Canis lupus familiaris: one gene and its partners. The protein of the gene in region 4 binds, or shares a complex with, the protein of the main gene of each other region. Links are inferred from orthologs where the notes say so. Each region holds a gene or a part of one and is shown on either strand. Other genes may lie near its edges.

What was found.
Region 1: OGT (region 4) and THAP3 share a complex: the UniProt entries of both Homo sapiens proteins name them as parts of the THAP1/THAP3-HCFC1-OGT complex. The link is inferred for Canis lupus familiaris from reciprocal best matches to the Homo sapiens genes OGT and THAP3.
Region 2: the proteins of OGT (region 4) and KRT7 are in contact, whole or in part, in a crystal structure (PDB 4XIF), measured with the Homo sapiens proteins. The link is inferred for Canis lupus familiaris from reciprocal best matches to the Homo sapiens genes OGT and KRT7. Residues at the interface, in NP_858058.1 of Homo sapiens: His506, His508, His509, Asn567, His568, Pro569, Tyr642, Thr643, Lys644, Gln849, Phe878, Val905, Ala906, Pro907; in NP_005547.3 of Homo sapiens: Val9, Phe10, Thr11, Ser12, Arg13, Ser14, Ala15.
Region 3: OGT (region 4) and PHF20 share a complex: the UniProt entries of both Homo sapiens proteins name them as parts of the NSL complex. The link is inferred for Canis lupus familiaris from reciprocal best matches to the Homo sapiens genes OGT and PHF20.

Annotation. Positions count from the first base shown.
Region 1 is NC_049226.1:60,924,810-60,929,759, reverse strand, and holds the start of THAP3 (THAP domain-containing protein 3), read right to left. Parts: upstream 2,927-4,950; 5' UTR 2,859-2,926; coding exon 2,785-2,858; intron 868-2,784; coding exon 675-867; intron 1-674. UniProt on the Homo sapiens protein: Component of a THAP1/THAP3-HCFC1-OGT complex that is required for the regulation of the transcriptional activity of RRM1.
Region 2 is NC_049248.1:43,837,187-43,840,446, reverse strand, and holds the end of KRT7 (keratin, type II cytoskeletal 7), read right to left. Parts: intron 1,411-3,260; coding exon 1,376-1,410; intron 1,021-1,375; coding exon 863-1,020; 3' UTR 658-862; downstream 1-657.
Region 3 is NC_049245.1:25,186,103-25,190,738, forward strand, and holds the start of PHF20 (PHD finger protein 20), read left to right. Parts: upstream 1-1,410; 5' UTR 1,411-1,541; intron 1,542-4,636. UniProt on the Homo sapiens protein: Methyllysine-binding protein, component of the MOF histone acetyltransferase protein complex.
Region 4 is NC_049260.1:56,037,537-56,041,688, forward strand, and holds part of OGT (UDP-N-acetylglucosamine--peptide N-acetylglucosaminyltransferase 110 kDa subunit), read left to right. Parts: intron 1-702; coding exon 703-861; intron 862-1,598; coding exon 1,599-1,688; intron 1,689-4,053; coding exon 4,054-4,152. UniProt on the Homo sapiens protein: Catalyzes the transfer of a single N-acetylglucosamine from UDP-GlcNAc to a serine or threonine residue in cytoplasmic and nuclear proteins resulting in their modification with a beta-linked N-acetylglucosamine (O-GlcNAc).

The DNA of each region.
Region 1 (4,950 bases), on a different chromosome or scaffold from region 4:
CTTTGGGCTTGATTCCACAACACTGAGGTCATGACCTGAGCCAAAACCAAGAGCCGATGCTTAACAGACTGAGCCACCCAGGCGCCCCATGCCTGATACATTTTTTTTTTTTAAGATTTTATTTATTTATGAGAGAGAGAGGCAGAAACACAGGCAGAGGGAGAAGGGGAGAAGCAGGCTCCACGCAAGGAGCCTGATGTGGGACTCAATCCCGGGCCTCCAGGATCACGCCCTGGGCTGAAGGCGGTGCTAAACCGCTGAGCCACCCGGGCTACCCGCCTGATACATTTTTAAAGGGGCTTTAGGGCAGCCCGGATGGCTTAGCGGTTTAGCGCCGCCTTCAACCCAGGGCCTGATCCTGGGAATCCGGGATCGAGTCCTGCGTCAGGCTCCCTGCATGGAGCCTGCTTCTCCCTCTGCCTGTGTCTCTGCCTCTCTGTCTCTCACTCATAAATAAATAAAAAATATTTTAAAAAAATAAATAAAGGGGCTTTAAATTATAAGTTACCTAAAGCAAAGGTCACAGCCAGCAGGACCACCGGGCTCTGGACCCCAGGGGCCTGACAGCGCTGCCCTCCCTGCACTCGTCAGCCTCCGCCCCCACTGCCCCTGCAAACACCTGCACGGGCGCCCTGGAGGCCTGAGTGGAGATGTAACGACAGTGGTGTGTTCACCTGCGTGGCGTCCTGAAAGGCAAACACGGTGGGCACAGCATTCTGCTTCAGGTTTTTGCGGTTTCCAAAGGCGCTGAAGCACTCGGGCCGGAAGTGCTCTGAGCAGATGACCGTGTGCTGCTTGGGCTTGAAGTTGGCCCGGCCGATGTTCAGCACCCATTCCTTCAGCAGCTCCGGGCGGCTGAATGGGAACCTGGGAAGCAAAGGAGGGAGACATAGAGGAATCTGCGAAGCTCAAGTCAACACCGTGGGGTTCGCTGCAATTCTGAAAATACCACATGGTATTTTACCAGACAGCTTCGAAAATTGAGTAACTCTGTTAAACTACATCCTATTTCTGGAAGCTTCTGTCATGCCAGTTTACAGTATCCTTAGTGTGCAATGTGAGGCCATGAACGTGGCCAGAAAGCCTTCCAAAGGCTTTGGTCCATTAGTCTTTGAGTACTCAAAGGCTGAGCCAGTGTCCATTCCCCCAGGGATGGCCCTGTCCCAGGCACTGGGATGTGGGAAGGAACAAACAGCCCCACCCTCGGAGAGCCTACATTCTAGAACAGGAAAACAGACAGCAGACCCAACAGATACAGAACTGTGTAGGAATAAAGAGTAGGGGGCATCTCGGTGACTCAGTGCTTGAGCATCTGCCTTTGGCTCAGGTCATGATCCCGGGGTCCTGGGATGGAGTCCCACATCGGACTCCTCATGGGGAGCCTGCTTCTCCCTCTGCCTGTGTCTCTGCCTCTCTTCTGTGTCTCTCATGAATAAATACATAAATGATCTTTTAAAAACAAATGAATAAAGGGAGGCAGTGGTCATGAAGGCCTCTTGGGAGGTGACATCTGAGCAGAGGCTGCAAGAAGCAGGAGAGCCAGCCAACGTTGTTGTCTTATCAGAAGGAAGAGCAAGAATAAAGGCACTGGGATGCACCCAGCATGTTGGGGGCACAGCCAGAGGTGGGTTTGGCTGAGAGGGCTGAGCAGGAGTCATGGGCCTGTCATGGCCAAAATACGGGAACACCCAAATGCCCTTTCCTTCTAGAACAAGTCAATTCTGGCATATTCATTCAGCAGAGGACCTCAAGAGATGGGGAGGAAGGCAGGGCAGCCACTCCAAGTACAGGTGACTTCATAAACATGAGCAAAAGACACAAGAAAGCACAGCATAGGACTTGGTGTGTCAAGTTCAACCCAAGCCAGAGCACCGGGCTCGGACAGAAGGCAGGATGCGGGCCACTCTGGGGGATGTCCGGGGGTGGGGGAGGGGATTCCCCAGGGGCTGATGTTCTGGTTCACAGTCACACAGGTGTTCACTTTGCGGAATGGCCTGGGCCATGGAATTATCATTTGTGTGCTTTTCTGTAGGTCTACTTCAATAAAAACCTTCACTTGGGAGAAGGAAAATGGTGATGGGAGGGGCGGTGGAGACAGTGCAGCTGGCCTTGGGGGTCGCGCTCTAGGCGGCGGTGGCTGGAAGCTGCGTTCTCCCGGGCAGGGGCCGGGCCGGGACCCGGGACAGGGGCCCAGGGCCGACACGCTGCGAGCGCCGGGAGCGCGAGGACAGGCTCCAAGCCTCCCGCCCGGGCTGCAGGGCTGCAGGGCTGCAGGGCTGCAGGGCTGCAGGGCCGGCCGCGCTCCCCAACACCCTGGAACGTTCTCAGGGCTCCGCTCCCCAGCTTCCTGACCCGAGGCCTGGCCGGGGCGAACCCCCCGCGTCACCACCACTCATTCATTCGGAGACGCATTCAGCCCGCACGCACGGAGCACCAGCCGCGTTCCAGGCTGCATCTGAGAACAAGATCGGGTCTCGGGGAGGGACTGACACCCCAGGACTGCGGACCCGGCGACCCACCCCGGCCTCCTCCGCAAGCGACCGCCCCAGCCGACGTGGGGGTAAGGCTGTGCGCCTTGGGCAGGTTGCTCGGCCTCTCCGATCGTCTCCCCACGAGCCCAGGCCGCGGGGCATCCCCCTGTCCCCGGGCCGCCGGCCCCTCCGCGGAGGACCCGGCTGCACGCCCTTGGCCGTCCCCGCCCGGCGCGCCAGGCCTCGGGCTCCCAGGGGCGCCAGGCGGGTCGGCAGCCGGGCCCCCGCGCCCCACGGCGCCCCTGCCCCTCACCGGTGGAAGGTGAGCTGCTTCCTGCGGCTGCTGTAGCGGTTGCAGCACTGCCGGGCCGCGCACGACTTCGGCATCTCCGGACGCCAGGCCCAGCTGCCCCTAACAAAGATGGCGGCGGCGGGCCGGCGGACCCGAGCGGGAGCTGCGGGGGGAGGGGCCAGCGAGCGGGGCGGGGCCGGCGAGCGGGGCGGGGCCTGCGGACCCGAGCGGGGCTACCCGAGACAGGGCTAGCGGGCGGGGCGGAGCCTCACAGGGCACAGCCAGGCCTGCGGACTGGAGCGGGGCCACGGGGGGCGGGGTCCGGCGAGCGAGGCGGGGCCAGCAGGCCGGCTGGGGCCTGCCCGGCACTGGAGGCCTGAAGACCCGAGCGGGGCCACGGGGGGCGGGGCCAGCGGGGCCAGGCCGGGGCCTGCGGGCGGGGCGGGGCGGGGAGGGGCGGAAGGCGGGGCTGCCTCCGCTCTGCTCCGGGGTCAACTCCCTGGGCGCTCCCTGCGGACCCGCAAGTCAGGTGGACTCCGGAGTATCACGACTAGAGGTGCTCCCGGGCCCCACCCAGGCCCGACGCCCCTAACAGCGCCTCCGGCGCAAGCTCCACCCGTTCGCGAAGCCCGGGGCCCTCACCTCCTTGCTTTGAGGAGCCAAGACACACCCACCAACAGCCTTGAACACCTGGATACCACAGACGGCTCACAGCCCAACCTGGCCAGGATCTCCGAGGTTTTAAGAGGTGTTGATACTAGGTTTTGGCTGCTCAGAAAGGAGGTACTAGGTGACCACTAGTTGGTCCCAGATTAGAGGTGGGCAGACACAGCTCAAAGAAAAGGCAGGGGCAGTGGGGACCCCCAAGTGTAAAGGGACAGAATGAGCACCTCTGGGAGACTGCAAACCTGCTTGCAGAACCTCGGAGGAGACTGCAGCTTTTTTTTTTTTTTTTTTTTAATTTTTATTTATTCATGATAGTCACAGAGAGAGAAAGAGAGAGGCAGAGACATAGGCAGAGGGAGAATGAGACTGCAGCTTTTAACAAAGCAGGTAACTACTCACTGGGATTTAAGCCAATCCACAGCATGATGAAACTGTGAAAGCGATTCATGTCTATTCATACTGTGGTTTGATCCTGGAGAATTTACTAGAAAAGTAAATGAAGAGTTGTGGGCACTTTATCTCCCCAGGTCTCTGTCATCCCGGTTTGGGGGTGATGAAGGGAGGAGAAAAACCATTGTCCACCCCCACAGAAAACAAACACCTGAAGCTAGGCATGAACCTCAAAGTAGCAATATATTTATTTACAAAATATACAGTTTCACAGAAACAGCTTCGCTTTATACACATAAACTTTATAATTACACAGAACCATGTAAACGATGTTAAGTGTCTGGCCTGGCCAATGCCAATGAGAGGTGCTTACTTTTGGGGTGACATCTTTCCCTCTCCTCACTTTATTAGCCACCAACCAGGAGCCCCTAGATGGGCCATGCCTAATTTGCATAAAGCTGATTGCAGCTGCCCAGCTCAAGTGAACACAAAAACCAAGGTGTCTTGAATTCCTAGACACCACCCACAGGGATAGATAGATCTGTTAAAAGAACAAAAAGGAAATGAAGGAAACAGATCGAAATGATTATCAAGTACCTTCCAGAGGTGTCACCAGGCATAGAACTTTCTAAAAGCAATACAGCAATCGCCAGGGCTGGCAGTTCCACTCTAAAATCACATGTATTCTTAAATGCACTTTTAAAACTTAGTGGAGGTTTTTTGTTTTTGTTTTTTAAAAGAAAAACACTTTGGAACTTTGGCTATTCTCATGGTGAAGACACTGGACAGGCAATGTCATGGGGCAGATCTTTGGCAAATTCCTCTCCAACTTTTCCTGGACGTTTGCCCTCATCCGAGCCAGACAGTTGTCTGGGGAGAAGGTGGTTTCTAAGCCCGCTTCTTACTATTTTTCTCTACAGCAGAACTTCTCCCTTGGGGATCTTCACGATAAACTGGGTTTCAGAATATATCTCTATTTCTGTGTTAATATAAGCAACAGAATTAAAAGCAAAACAAAACAAAAAGCAGTTGGCTGGTGAAGCATGAAAGACACTAGCACAGAAAATGGGCTCTGATCGGCCAATTAAGAGTTCAAAACCCCTTTGTGCCTAAGGGAGAGAATATGAACAG
Region 2 (3,260 bases), on a different chromosome or scaffold from region 4:
GTCAGACACCCTGACACACCGATGTTCTTATCAAGCAGACGACACCCAGATGCCCCTCCCCCTGCCAGGGATCCAGAGCCGCAGCCCATGGACCTGGCACCGAGCCTCCCGCCATGGAGCTAGACCCTGGACCTCCTCACCCTACCCCCTCCCAAAGGCACACAGACCTCCTCCCGCTGCCATCACCACCCCCACGAGTCCCAGACCCAGAGAGCTCCCTCCAGGGCCCAAGGGCCAGGCGGACCCAACACCTGCAAGGACCAACTGGCCTGGGAGTTGGCTGGTGTGCCCAGGCCTATGGCAGCTGAACGTCTGGGGCCTCCTCACACCAAGGAAGGTACTCGGCAGCACAGACACAGGGGTCGGGATTGTGCAAACAGCCCTCCCACTCCCTCAGCAGGAGAGGACTTCAGTGCCCCCTCCCTGGCAGAGCCAGACTTCCCTGGGTTTCAGGAGAGGGGTTGGACTCAGCCCCAGCTCTGGGAGGAGGCCAAGGCCTTATAGGACTGAGAGCCATGCCCCGAAGGGTCCACCACACGCACCAACGGGCTTTCCCAGCTGCCTGCACAAAGGCCTTCTCAGTATTCAGAGCAGACCCTATATGCTCTCGAAGGCCCCTTCCTCCCCAACCCTTTCCACCAGCTTATGAAGCCAGGATTCCAGGTACCAAGGTGGGCCTCACCCAGGCTTCGGAAAGGCTGCTTTATTAGAAGCTCTTCTTTTTCTCTTTTTTTTTTTTAGCTCTTCTGACATCATTTTCAGACTGCCTGGAAGTCTTGGTATCAGGGATGGGAGCCCTCATGTGACTGGGGGGCTAGAGGGGGGTGGGTAGGTAGGGGTACAGGTCTCCGCACACCGCAGCTCATTTCCGAATGCTCCTATGGGTGGCAGCTGAGGTCCTGATGGAATAGGACCTGAAGGCACCAGGTCCGCCGCCGCTGGAGAAGCTCAGGGCATTGCTGCCCATGGTCCCCCCGAAGCTCAGGCCGCTGCCGCCTCCGCCAGTGGAGTTCACCACAGCTGGGAGAAAAGGGAGGAGGGCTCCATCAGCACGAGGCCCATCCCTCACTCCACCCTACTCTCCCTCCCCACTGCCTCTCCTCCTCAGCACCCTCCGCAGGCCAGCCCAGAAGGAGCCCGCGCCAGCCACAGGGGCTGCACCACGGATGCCCCACGCCCCGCTCTGCCCTCTTGCACGGCTTCCCTGGGCCTTTGAGCCTGACGGGCTGGGAGCTCCAGGGCACCTGCTAAAAGCCCATAAGGGAAAGAAGAAGCTCCTGGGCAGGACAAGGCCAGGCCCTCGGGCCAGCGTGCCATCCTGCAGGCCCAGCCTGGTCTAGACAGCACAGGAGAAGGGCCACAGCCAAGGACTTACAGATGTTCACGGCTCCCACGCCATCTCCGGCCAACCTGGGGGCAGAGGAGAGACCTGTGAGAGCAGCTCTTTCCTCAGAGCAGGAGGAGGCAGTCCTGGGCCCCCTCCATCCAGGAGCCGCGCAGGGCTGATATTCCTTCCCCTGCCCCACACATTAGTCCTCAGCCTCATTGCAAAATAAGGGGATGGGTGGGGAGGAGGTTCACTTAGGCCCTCCTGGTACTGGCCACGTGACCTTGGGCCATGTCCCAAAGCCTCCATTTCCTCACCTATAAACTGAGCCTAACTTAGTCCGGGCCTCACAGGGTCGGTCGTGAGGCTGGATCACGTAACTGCGCTGGAGCCCTGGGCGCACGGGAGTCCATGAGGGGTAGCCGGGATTACTTCTGAGGACAGCTGCCTCCCCCGACCAAATCACAAACCCTCAACGCGGGCTGGAGCTTACGGATGCCTGGCCATCCGGCCCTAGCGGGAGGTGTGGCGTGGAGCCATCATCCGCTATGGAGTGAAATAACTCGAGAATTGCTGCTTTCGGGAACGCAGCTACGGCGGGGACTGCGGAGGCCGCAGAGGCAGATGCGGCCACTCTCAGGGCCCGGCTGGAGATGGAAAAGCCACGGGACAGTTGGGCGTGTTTGTTTTATGACTCACGGCTCCATTGTCACCGCGCCCTTGGCCTTGAGGTTGAGTTTACTCTGCAGTGGGGAGGGGGGACCTCACTTTGATAGAGGGATGAGGGGAGCCCAGCTGACGTCATCAGCCCTAAGTTCAGGAAGAGGACAGAGCGAAGGACAAGGGCAAGAGGCGGATGTGCCAGGAGGCTTCCAAGCCCCTTGTTCAACTGGCCCCTGCAAGCGCTGGGAGTCGCTGGCCGTTGCGGGCCCCTGGGAGGAAGGGGATGGGGCCCCACTATAAGAGTCCCCAGCTCTGGTTCTAGCAGGAAAAGAGGTCCAGGGTTTGCATTCCCAAGAAAGCATGGCCCCTGCACCCATGCTGGCAGAGGGTGCAGAGCGAGGCAGCACGGCCGGGACAGGTGGGCTCTCGGGCCACCCTGTGCCCCAGATCAGCGGCTCTCTCTTCCCAGAGGCCTCTGCCGTTCAATTCCTCTTCCCACAAAGCCCAGGTGCCAACCCCAGCAAGAGATGGGTCAACTGCTGTGGCAGAGACCCTTCCGCCTCCCCTTCCCCAACCCATTTCCTGCAGCCATGATTCTTCTCTGCCTCCTTCCTGGAGTCAGGCACTCTGCCCTAGCATTCCCCAGTGCCCCAGCTCCTTCCTGTCGACTCCATCAGAAGCAGCCTGCCTCCCCCGCCCCTCAGGAAAAAATGCTCCCAAAAGAAAAAGTTCTGTGTAAATTTAGCATTTCATAAATGGTCTCTATTATGAGTGCTTCCTAGGTGCTTCCTTTACAAATGTTTGGTGCCCCCCGGCCCACGTGCAAGCCCCCCGAGGGCAGGAGCCTATCTTACACCTTATCTATCTCCATGCTGGGTTCCAACAAGCCAAGCCCTGATGGGGCCTACTTCCAAGCCTTGGCCATGCTGTTCCCTCTCACCCTCTCCAAACCTTAACCTTCGCCGAGGGCACAACTCTACAGCCTTGCAGATTGAATGAATCAATCAACCATCAGGGTGAGAATGAAAGCCCAACTGCACGGACAGAGGGTCCATGTCTAACACCGATCCAGCCCAGCCTGCTCTCTGGCAGCGGGTGTGCATAGATCTCTGGGATCTCCCACATTCAGTCAACACCAGGCGACTTGGCACTCAGTGATGCAGCGAGAAGCAGCCTGGCATCATGAAAGACCCCTGGACCAGGAATCAGCAGAGCTTGACTGCACGCTGGGCCTGTCCCCTCCATTCATAAAACTGAACCACAGCTTCCC
Region 3 (4,636 bases), on a different chromosome or scaffold from region 4:
ATTCAGGAAACAAATACAATCAAGAGAATAAATGAAACAAAACTGTGTTAATGCTCTGTTGAAAATGAATAGTGAAAAGGTAGAGAGTAATTGTCATGGCGCAGGCATTTGATCAACTGAAGCACTTCTACATTATGTAGCTACAGAGAGTCTCACCAAGGAGATGACAAATAGACCTTGCATGATGAAGAGTCAGCTTTGCAAAAAAGCAAAGCTTTTTTGCCTATGCGATGAGCCAGCAGCTGGAAAGAATGTAGGAAGAATCCTAGAAACTGAGAGAAAGTCAATATACCTAGAGGACAAGCAAGGGTGAAGGATTCAGGTGAACAGATTGGCTGTTTTAAGTAGGGTGGTGACATGATTAGATTTACATTTTAAAAAATATTTTATTTCTTTGAGAGAGAGGCGGAGCAGAGGGAGAGGGACATGAAGACTCTATGCTGAACACAGAGCCTGACAGGGGGCTCGAATCCCCCGACTTAGATCATGACCTGAGCTGAAATCAAGAATCAAGTCCCACATCGGGCTCCCTGCAGGGAGCCTGCTTCTCCCTCTGCCTGTGTCTCTGCCTCTCTCTCTTTCTCTCTCAGTCTCTCATGAATAAATAAAATATTAAAAAAAAATACAATCTGGCTGCTTTGTCTTTTCAATGTAAGTTAAAGTCCTCATTGCCCTCACAAATAACAAATGTTTAGCCAATCTCCTTGGGACTTCCCAAGTCCTATTGGGAAAACATTTCATACTCTTTTGATGTGGCTGCAACTCCGACCTTGGTCCCCAGAGGCGAAATACAGCTCCTCTCCACACCAGCAATTGGAATCCTTTCCAAGGAGTTAATGAGGCAAAGTGGAGGAGGTATTAGTGCAAAGACCCTGAGGGGTCAAGGAACCTGGCTTGCGCACTTGAAAGGGGTGGAAAACGTGGGAAAGCAGGATGTGTGAGATTGTGAGAGAGGCAGGTTAGGATTTATTAGACTTTGAAGAGCCTGGTTGATAGGCTACAGGGGGATATTAAGATTTCAACCCGAAGAACCGGGTTTGTGATTATATTTGAATTTTGAAAAGCTTCCACTGTGTGTGAAGAATGGTTTGGAAGGGGAAAGGGTAATGGGATGGAGGGCACGACCATCATCTAAGAGAGAGGGGGCCTAGACTGGAGTGTCAGCAGTGGGACGGAAAGAAGTAAGGGCTTCCAGATGCACTTGGGAGGCAAAATTAACAGGTGATGGATCGTGGGTGTCCAGTCCCAGGCTTCGTGTTACCTGACGAGTGGCGACTTCGTGCTCTGGATCAGGGCGCCGGCCTGGTTCCCGCGCGTCAGGGCAGTGGGCGTGGCCGCGGGGCCGTCTCCACGGGGAGCGAGCAGGGCGGGGCCGTGGGTGGGGCAGCTGGGGCGCTGCGTCACTCGGTGGTGGCGATGGTGCGTGTGTGTGGGGGGGCGGGGGATACGCTGGGCGCGTCCCGGGGGTCACGTGGTGCGCAGCACGCAGAGTCCTTCTGTCGGTTGGTCCTGGAGCGGCGCAGCCGGAGCGGGGCTGTGAGGTGAGCTCGCGACGAGGCGCGGCGAGGAGAAGCCGGAGGGCCGGAGCCGGGTTGGGCCGGGCCCGCGCCGTGCGCGCGCCGTGCCAGCGGCAGAGGAGACGGCCGCCGCCGCTGCCCGGTCCCCTGCCTGGCCTCGCTCTCCGCCCGGCCCCGCTCGCCCAGCCGGGAGGGAGGCCCGGGGACCGCTGCTGAGAGCGTGGCGGGCGTGCGAGCGGCGCCCAATCCCCAGGGCTGCCCGAGGGAATGACGGCGGTCGCGGCCAATCAGCGCCGCCCGAGGGGGCTGGGCCGCGGGGTGCGGGCTCGGGGCGCGGAGCGGGCCGCGTTGGGGGTGGGGGGTAAGCGCTGGGGCTAGAGAGAGGCTGAGCTGCGTGGTCCCCGAGAGCTCCACCTCCAGCCGCTGCTGTTGCCTTGTGCTTTGGGAATGCGTTTTCTTTTATTGACTCTTTTATCCTATTCTGGGGAGCACACCCCTTTCTCAAGCCCCTGACTATGGGAGTGTCCCCTTTCTCTATAGTTTAGAGAATGTGGTGCACTCCCTTTCTTAAACTCCAGCCCTGGGGTTTTATCTTAATTTCCAAAGCCCCTCAAACTGAGGATGTATCCCATTTCCCAGGCACCCCCCCCCCCCAAACTGGGAGGACACTCCCTTTTCCGAGCCACTAATCTGAACACGCACTCCCTTTCAAATTTTGGGGTTTGCTCCATAATTGACTCTCAGATCTGGGGTCCGGTAGCCAAAGTTTCGGGGATACTTCTATTCCCACATATCCAAGAAAGAATCTCCTTATCCTGGCCCCAGATCTTGCAAATGCTTTCCAAAATTTTTTAAATTTAGGGGCTGCTTCGTTTCCCCAGCCCTTGGGGGTGCTCCTTATTTCCAGAGTCTACTGAAAATGCGATCCAAATTCTGAAGTTTAAAGGTAGATATTTGCGGTTGCACAAATAAAGGAATTCACTGCTTTTTCTAGTCACTGTATTCTTGGGGTTGCACCCATTTTCATGAGTTCCTCAAATTAAACTACTTTATTTCCTGGGGGAGACTCAGGTTCATATCTGAGAGTGTATTTGTTTCCTGTGTTTCCAAAATGTACAGGATCCACTCCTTTTGGTTGCCCAGTCCTTGGGTTGCAGCCACCTTCCTGATGATTCTTAAATCTGGGAGGGCACACATTTTTTCTAAGTTCTCTCAGGCCTGCGCCATGATATCTGGTTCTTGAGCATGATGCCTCCTATCCTTTTTAGCTTTTCTTTTATCCAAGACATTTTCGTTACTCAGTTTACTTTCCTCTTTGGAACCCCATTTCCCTTTTAGGTGCTCTCCCTGCTTTGGTCAGGGCACCCATTTCCTCTTCCTTCCTCTGGTGAATGCTTATCTTTCTTTAGCACAGCATTTTCTCTGCTTCAGTGGCCTTTTTTCTGAGCACACTTCCTATAGTCACACCTTGAATTTCCCTCCCCCAAGTGAAAGATCCCTCCCTTAAAGGGTACCTGCATGCTGTCTTTCATACATCTATTTTACCTTTTATGTTTTTGCTTTCTACTAACAGGAACTCTTCTATCTTGGCTTGCCCTATCCCATTTTCTGCCTTTTTCTGGTTTCTAACTCCCTTTGGACAGTGCTCTGCTTACTGGAGTCTGTAGAGTTTTTCTCTTTTCTACCCTTTGAGCTGGCCTCAGATCCAGGACTGCTTGACCCTCCAGCGCTGAATTTAAACTGGAAAGGAAATCCCTTTACATTTCTTTGGTTATTCACAGGACTTTTAATCTTCCAGTGGTTTGCTTCCTATAAGATTCTGGTTAGATGTGTACTGTTTTCTCCTTTGCTTCTCTCCTCCCCCACCCCCATTGGGAAAAAATTCTGAAGAGAGTCTTCCAGTCTTCCAGCTCATAAACTTCCTCCCTACATTAGCTTTCTTCCTTCCTTTTATCAAGAAAATAGGTCATTTGGAGGAATCTCTTTGTCACTCTTTTTGTTATTTTCCCTGAGTTGCAGGTGGGGGATGGATACTTACCTCTTATCATTTTCTCACATGTCTGCCAAGCCTTGCTCCCAATCCCCATCTTAAAATCACCAAATATCTGGGACCTCTTGTCTCTTAAAAGCCTCTCAGTAGGTTCTTTCTTTTGTATTTCCCTCTGTCTTTCCAGATCTTACTCAGGGCTTCTCTGAGCCCCTAACCGGCTTAATTTCTCCACAGCTGGAATCCCAAGTGCTTATGGGATAATGATACTTCTGACCTTTCTCCCTTTTGGGAAGTACTTGAGTGTGCAGCTGTATGAGGCCTCAGTGGGGGAGAGAGTTTGGGCCTGAGAAGCTACACTGGCAGGATGAGGCAGGAAGGTACTGCATTTTCAGGACCACTTCCTTCTGAATCTCATTTGGAGATTGGATGTTTGCCAAGCACCTGCTTCTTAGGGATGCTGGAGGATTTAATGATACTCGCAGGAACCTGTAGGAATTAATGGAGATTGTGAAAAAGTGCTCTGAACTCAGTGTTGGAGCTTGAATACAATTAACCGTTACTATATTTTCAGAACAACTAAGTGTTTTATTTTTCATGGTCATGAAAGCCCTAGAGCTAAGGTGTGTTATTTCAGGAAGTGAAATGGATCCCACATTTAGATCATGTGGTGGTTAATAAGTACCAAATTGATAAAAAACACTGGAGGTCTGTCTGAGCAGTACCTAATAAAATATGATACACAGAAAGTGAACAGATATTTCATCTCTTTATACGCCTGTCTGGTATTTTATCTGCTTGGTACTGCTATATACAGTGCACCTTTAAAGTATTCTGTGTCCATGCTTCTCAAACTTGAATGTGCATATAAATTGCTTGTGGGAGAAGGGTCGTGCTAACATGCTAATTCTGATCCAGTAGGTTTAGGTTGGAGCCTCTGGATCTGCATTTCTAATTCCCAGGTGATGGCCATATTACTGAACTACACTGAGTAGTGAGGTTCTATACACAAAGCCAAGGATATCTTTGTGGAAATAGGTGGTGTGGTTAGCCTTATGCTGAGGTATTATTTTCCACTTTCTCTTTATCCAGACACTTCCCCCCAATTTTTTTTTTAAGATTTTATTTATTC
Region 4 (4,152 bases):
TTAAAAAAAAAACGCTTCTCTACAGAATTTTCTAAAATGCAGGGTTTATCATACTCTGCACTGCCTCCTGTCTCCAAGTTTTATTTTTTTATTTTTATTTTTTTAAGATATTACTTATTCATGAGAGATACAGAGAGAGGCAGAGACACAGACAGAGGGAGAATCAGACTCCCTGCGGGGAGCCTAATGTGGGGACCCTATCCCAGGACTCCAGGACTGCGCCCTGGGCTAAAGGCAGGCGTTCAACTGCTGAGCCACCCAGGTGTCCCTGTTTCCAAGATTGATTGATTGATTTAAAGATTTTATTTCTTAATTCATGAGAGATACAGAGGGCAGAGAGGCAGAGACAGGCAGAGGGAGAGGGAGAGGCAGACTCCATTCAGGGAGCCCGATGTGGGACTCGATCCCGGGACTCCGGGATCATGCCCTGGACTGAAGGCAGGCGCTAAACCACGGAGCCACCCAGGGATCCCCTGTTTCCAAGTTTTAGATTTTGTAGGTCTCAGGAACAGGTCAGAGTATGGAGCGTATTATATAAACTGCTAAGTTTGCATTGAATTGGCTGTATGACTTAAAAGAAGTATTCTGGGCAAACCATTCCCAACAAGTGTGAAGTAGAAGTTTGTTTTGTTTTTAATTTTCCTAGATGAATATTTATGTACAGATTCAACTGTACTAACAAACATTGCTTTCTGTTGATAGATTAACGTCCTTCATAAACCACCATACGAACATCCAAAAGACTTGAAGCTTAGTGATGGTCGACTGCGTGTAGGATATGTGAGTTCTGACTTTGGGAATCATCCTACTTCTCACCTTATGCAGTCTATTCCAGGCATGCACAATCCTGATAAATTTGAGGTAAGGCTAGTGTTTCCCTAGAGACACCATGTTCTGTTTAGAAAAAACAACAAATAAACCATTTCTGGTTTTAGCATCACCATTGGGTGTTCATCCCAGTGTCTTTGAAAGATTTGAACCAAAGTTTTTACTTAGTTTAAAATTTAGTTTTCTGTTTGAAATACAGTTGACATATGGTATTACATTAGTTTAAGATGTACAACTTAGTGATTTCACAATTGTATTCACTACAAAATGCTCACCACAGCAGTGTGGTTACTGATTATTACCATACAAACTTATAAACATTATTGACTGTATTCCCTGTGCTGCACTTTTCATCCCTGTGACTTGTTAAGTTCCAACTGTTCGTTGGAAGTTTGTACATCTTAATCCCCTTTACCTGTTTAACTCATTCTCCTCACCCCCTTCCCTTCTGGCAACCACCAGTTTTGTTCTCTGTACTTATGAGTCTGTTTCTATGTGTTTTTTACTTGTTTTGTTTTATAGATTCTGTATATAAGTGAGAGCATATGGTGTTTGTCTTTGTCTTATTTCACTTAGCATAATATTCTCTAGGCCCATCCATGTTATGAATGGCAAGATTTCATTCTTTTTTATGGTTCCATGGCTACACATATATACGCACACACCCTCGGCAAATTCTTTATCCATTCATCTGTTGATGGACACTTAAGAGGTTGCTTGCATATCTTGTTGAGCCAAGGTTTTTAAACATATCGTGTGCTGCCTTTCAGGTATTCTGTTATGCCCTGAGCCCAGATGATGGCACAAACTTCAGAGTGAAAGTTATGGCAGAAGCCAATCATTTCATTGATCTTTCTCAGGTAGGTGAAACTCCTATACTTCAGACTTTTAATTTTGAGCAAATAGCGAATGAAACTATTGGTGTGTAGCTTGTATTTTTCATAATAGGTATTTATATCAGCCACTACATATGGACAATTACTTTGATCTTATTTCCTTCATCATTTATAATGAGCATGGATTGTGTTGAGGTTGCAAATGAAATAGAAATGGGGTCTCTTTGTGCTTGGATGTAAAACTCTTCTAGGAAATGGTGGCTTGGAAGAGGATTAGGTAGGTTACTTAAAATAGAAACTGTGGTTCATCATGGTTAAATCTATTTTTGTGGGCCTTTGCCTTTGGTTATCTTTATTTCTATACTTGTTCTGTTGCTATTTCTAGGAGCATAAATTTTATGATAAATTAAGATTGAAAGCTGTGGAGGAATTAATTTGGTGAGTGTAGAGGTTTTTTATGGACTCTGGGCCACTTTGGTGACTAATAGAGATATGCAGTGTATGGTATATCTAGTAATTGATACATGAATCATTGAAGTTCTAGCAAAAGGGTTGTGACATTCTTGTCATTTAATGAATGGTGTGTACCAACATCTTTGGCAATGTAACTGTTGCTTTGAGACTATACTCAACCAATGCAGGATTTGGACTCTTCATGACAAGAACCATACTGCCTTCCACCTTTGAGATAATTAAGGGACTCTACTTAGTGACCGGAGTCTAAACTCTTCAGCATGGCCTTCACAGTCTTTTTTTCCCCCCTCCAAAGATTTTATTTATTTTGGAGAGGGAAAGTGAGAGCTCGAGCTGGGGAAGGGCCAGTGGGAGAGGATCTCAAGTGGACTCCATGCTGAGCAAGAAGCACAACACAGGGCTCCATCTCACTACCCTGAGATCATGTCTGAGCTGAAATCAAGGGCTGATGCTTAACCGACTGGGCCACCCAGGCGCCCCAGCCTTCACAGTCTTAAGTCTGAGCACAACCATGTTTGCCAATACTTTTCACCTCCCATTTGCCCTCATATATACTCTGTACCAAATAGAAGTGATCTACTCAATATTTTAAAAATCTGTGCACTTTACCCGGGTTCTTTATTTGTACTGTCTTTTTTTTAAGATTTTATTTATTCATGAGAGACACACAGAGAGGCAGAGATATAGGCAGAGGAAGAAGCAGGCTCCATGCAGGGACCCTGATGTGGGACTTGATCCCAGGACTCCAGGATCATGCCCTGAGCCTAAGGCAGATGTTCAGCTGCTGAGCCACCCAGGCATTCCATATTCGTACTGTTCTCTATTGAGATTCTGTTCTGTCCAACTGCCTCAAGTGCTTATCCATCTTTGAAGGCCCATTTCAAAATCCAGCTCCTCTATGAAGCCTTGTTATTCATGCATTCAATCTAGAAGTAAATTCTCTTTCCTGTGTATTCTATTTCTGTAATGTTTTAGGCCCATTTTAATGGCACTTAAACATATTTTTTTATTTTTTTTATTTTTTATTTTTTTATTTTTAAAGATTTAATTTTTTTACTCATGACAGAGAGAGAGAGAGAGAGAGGCAGAGACACAGGCAGAGGGAGAAGTAGGCTCCGTGCAGGGGGCCCAACGCGGGACTCGATCCCGGGTCTCCAGGATCACACCCCAGGCTGAAGGCGGTGCTAAACCACTGGGCCACCGGGGCTGCCCAACATATTTTTTTAATGAAAAATTTTTTATTAACGTTTTAAAAATTTATTTTTTAGGATTTTATATATTTATGAGAGACCCATTCATGAGTGAGGTGGAGACCTAGGGAGAGGGTTCTGCATGGGGAGCCTGATGTGGGACTCGATCCCAGGATCTGGGGATCACGTCCTGAGCTGAAGGCAGATGCTCAACCACTGAATCACTCAGGCATCCCAACATTTAAAAAATAAATTTATTGATTGATTGATTGATTGATTTTTATTTATTCATGAGAGAGAAGCAGAGGGAAAAGGAGGCTCCGTGCAAGGAGCCCGATGTGGGATTCGATCCCGGGACTCCAGGATCATGCCCTGGGCCAAAGACAGGCGCTAAACCGCTGAGCCACCCAGGGATCCCCACATTTTTTAAATTTAAATTCAATTTGCCAACATATAGCGTAACACTAAGTGCTCATCACATCATATGCCCTCCTTAATGCCTATCACCCAGTTATTCTACCCCCCCACTGACCTCCCATTCTGCAACCCTGTGTTTCACAGAGTCAGGAGTCTCTCATGACTTAACCATATTTTTATACTGCATAAATGTAATTTGTCTTCTTACTATGTTTTGTACCTGTGACTCTGAATTCTATTTAATGCCATTAAAACTTATTGAATTAGTTTGAGATTATACATAGTGAGTTCTGTTTTTTATTGCATAGATTCCATGCAATGGAAAAGCAGCTGATCGCATCCATCAGGATGGTATACACATCCTTGTCAATATGAATGGTTATACCAAGGGTGCTCGAAATGAACTC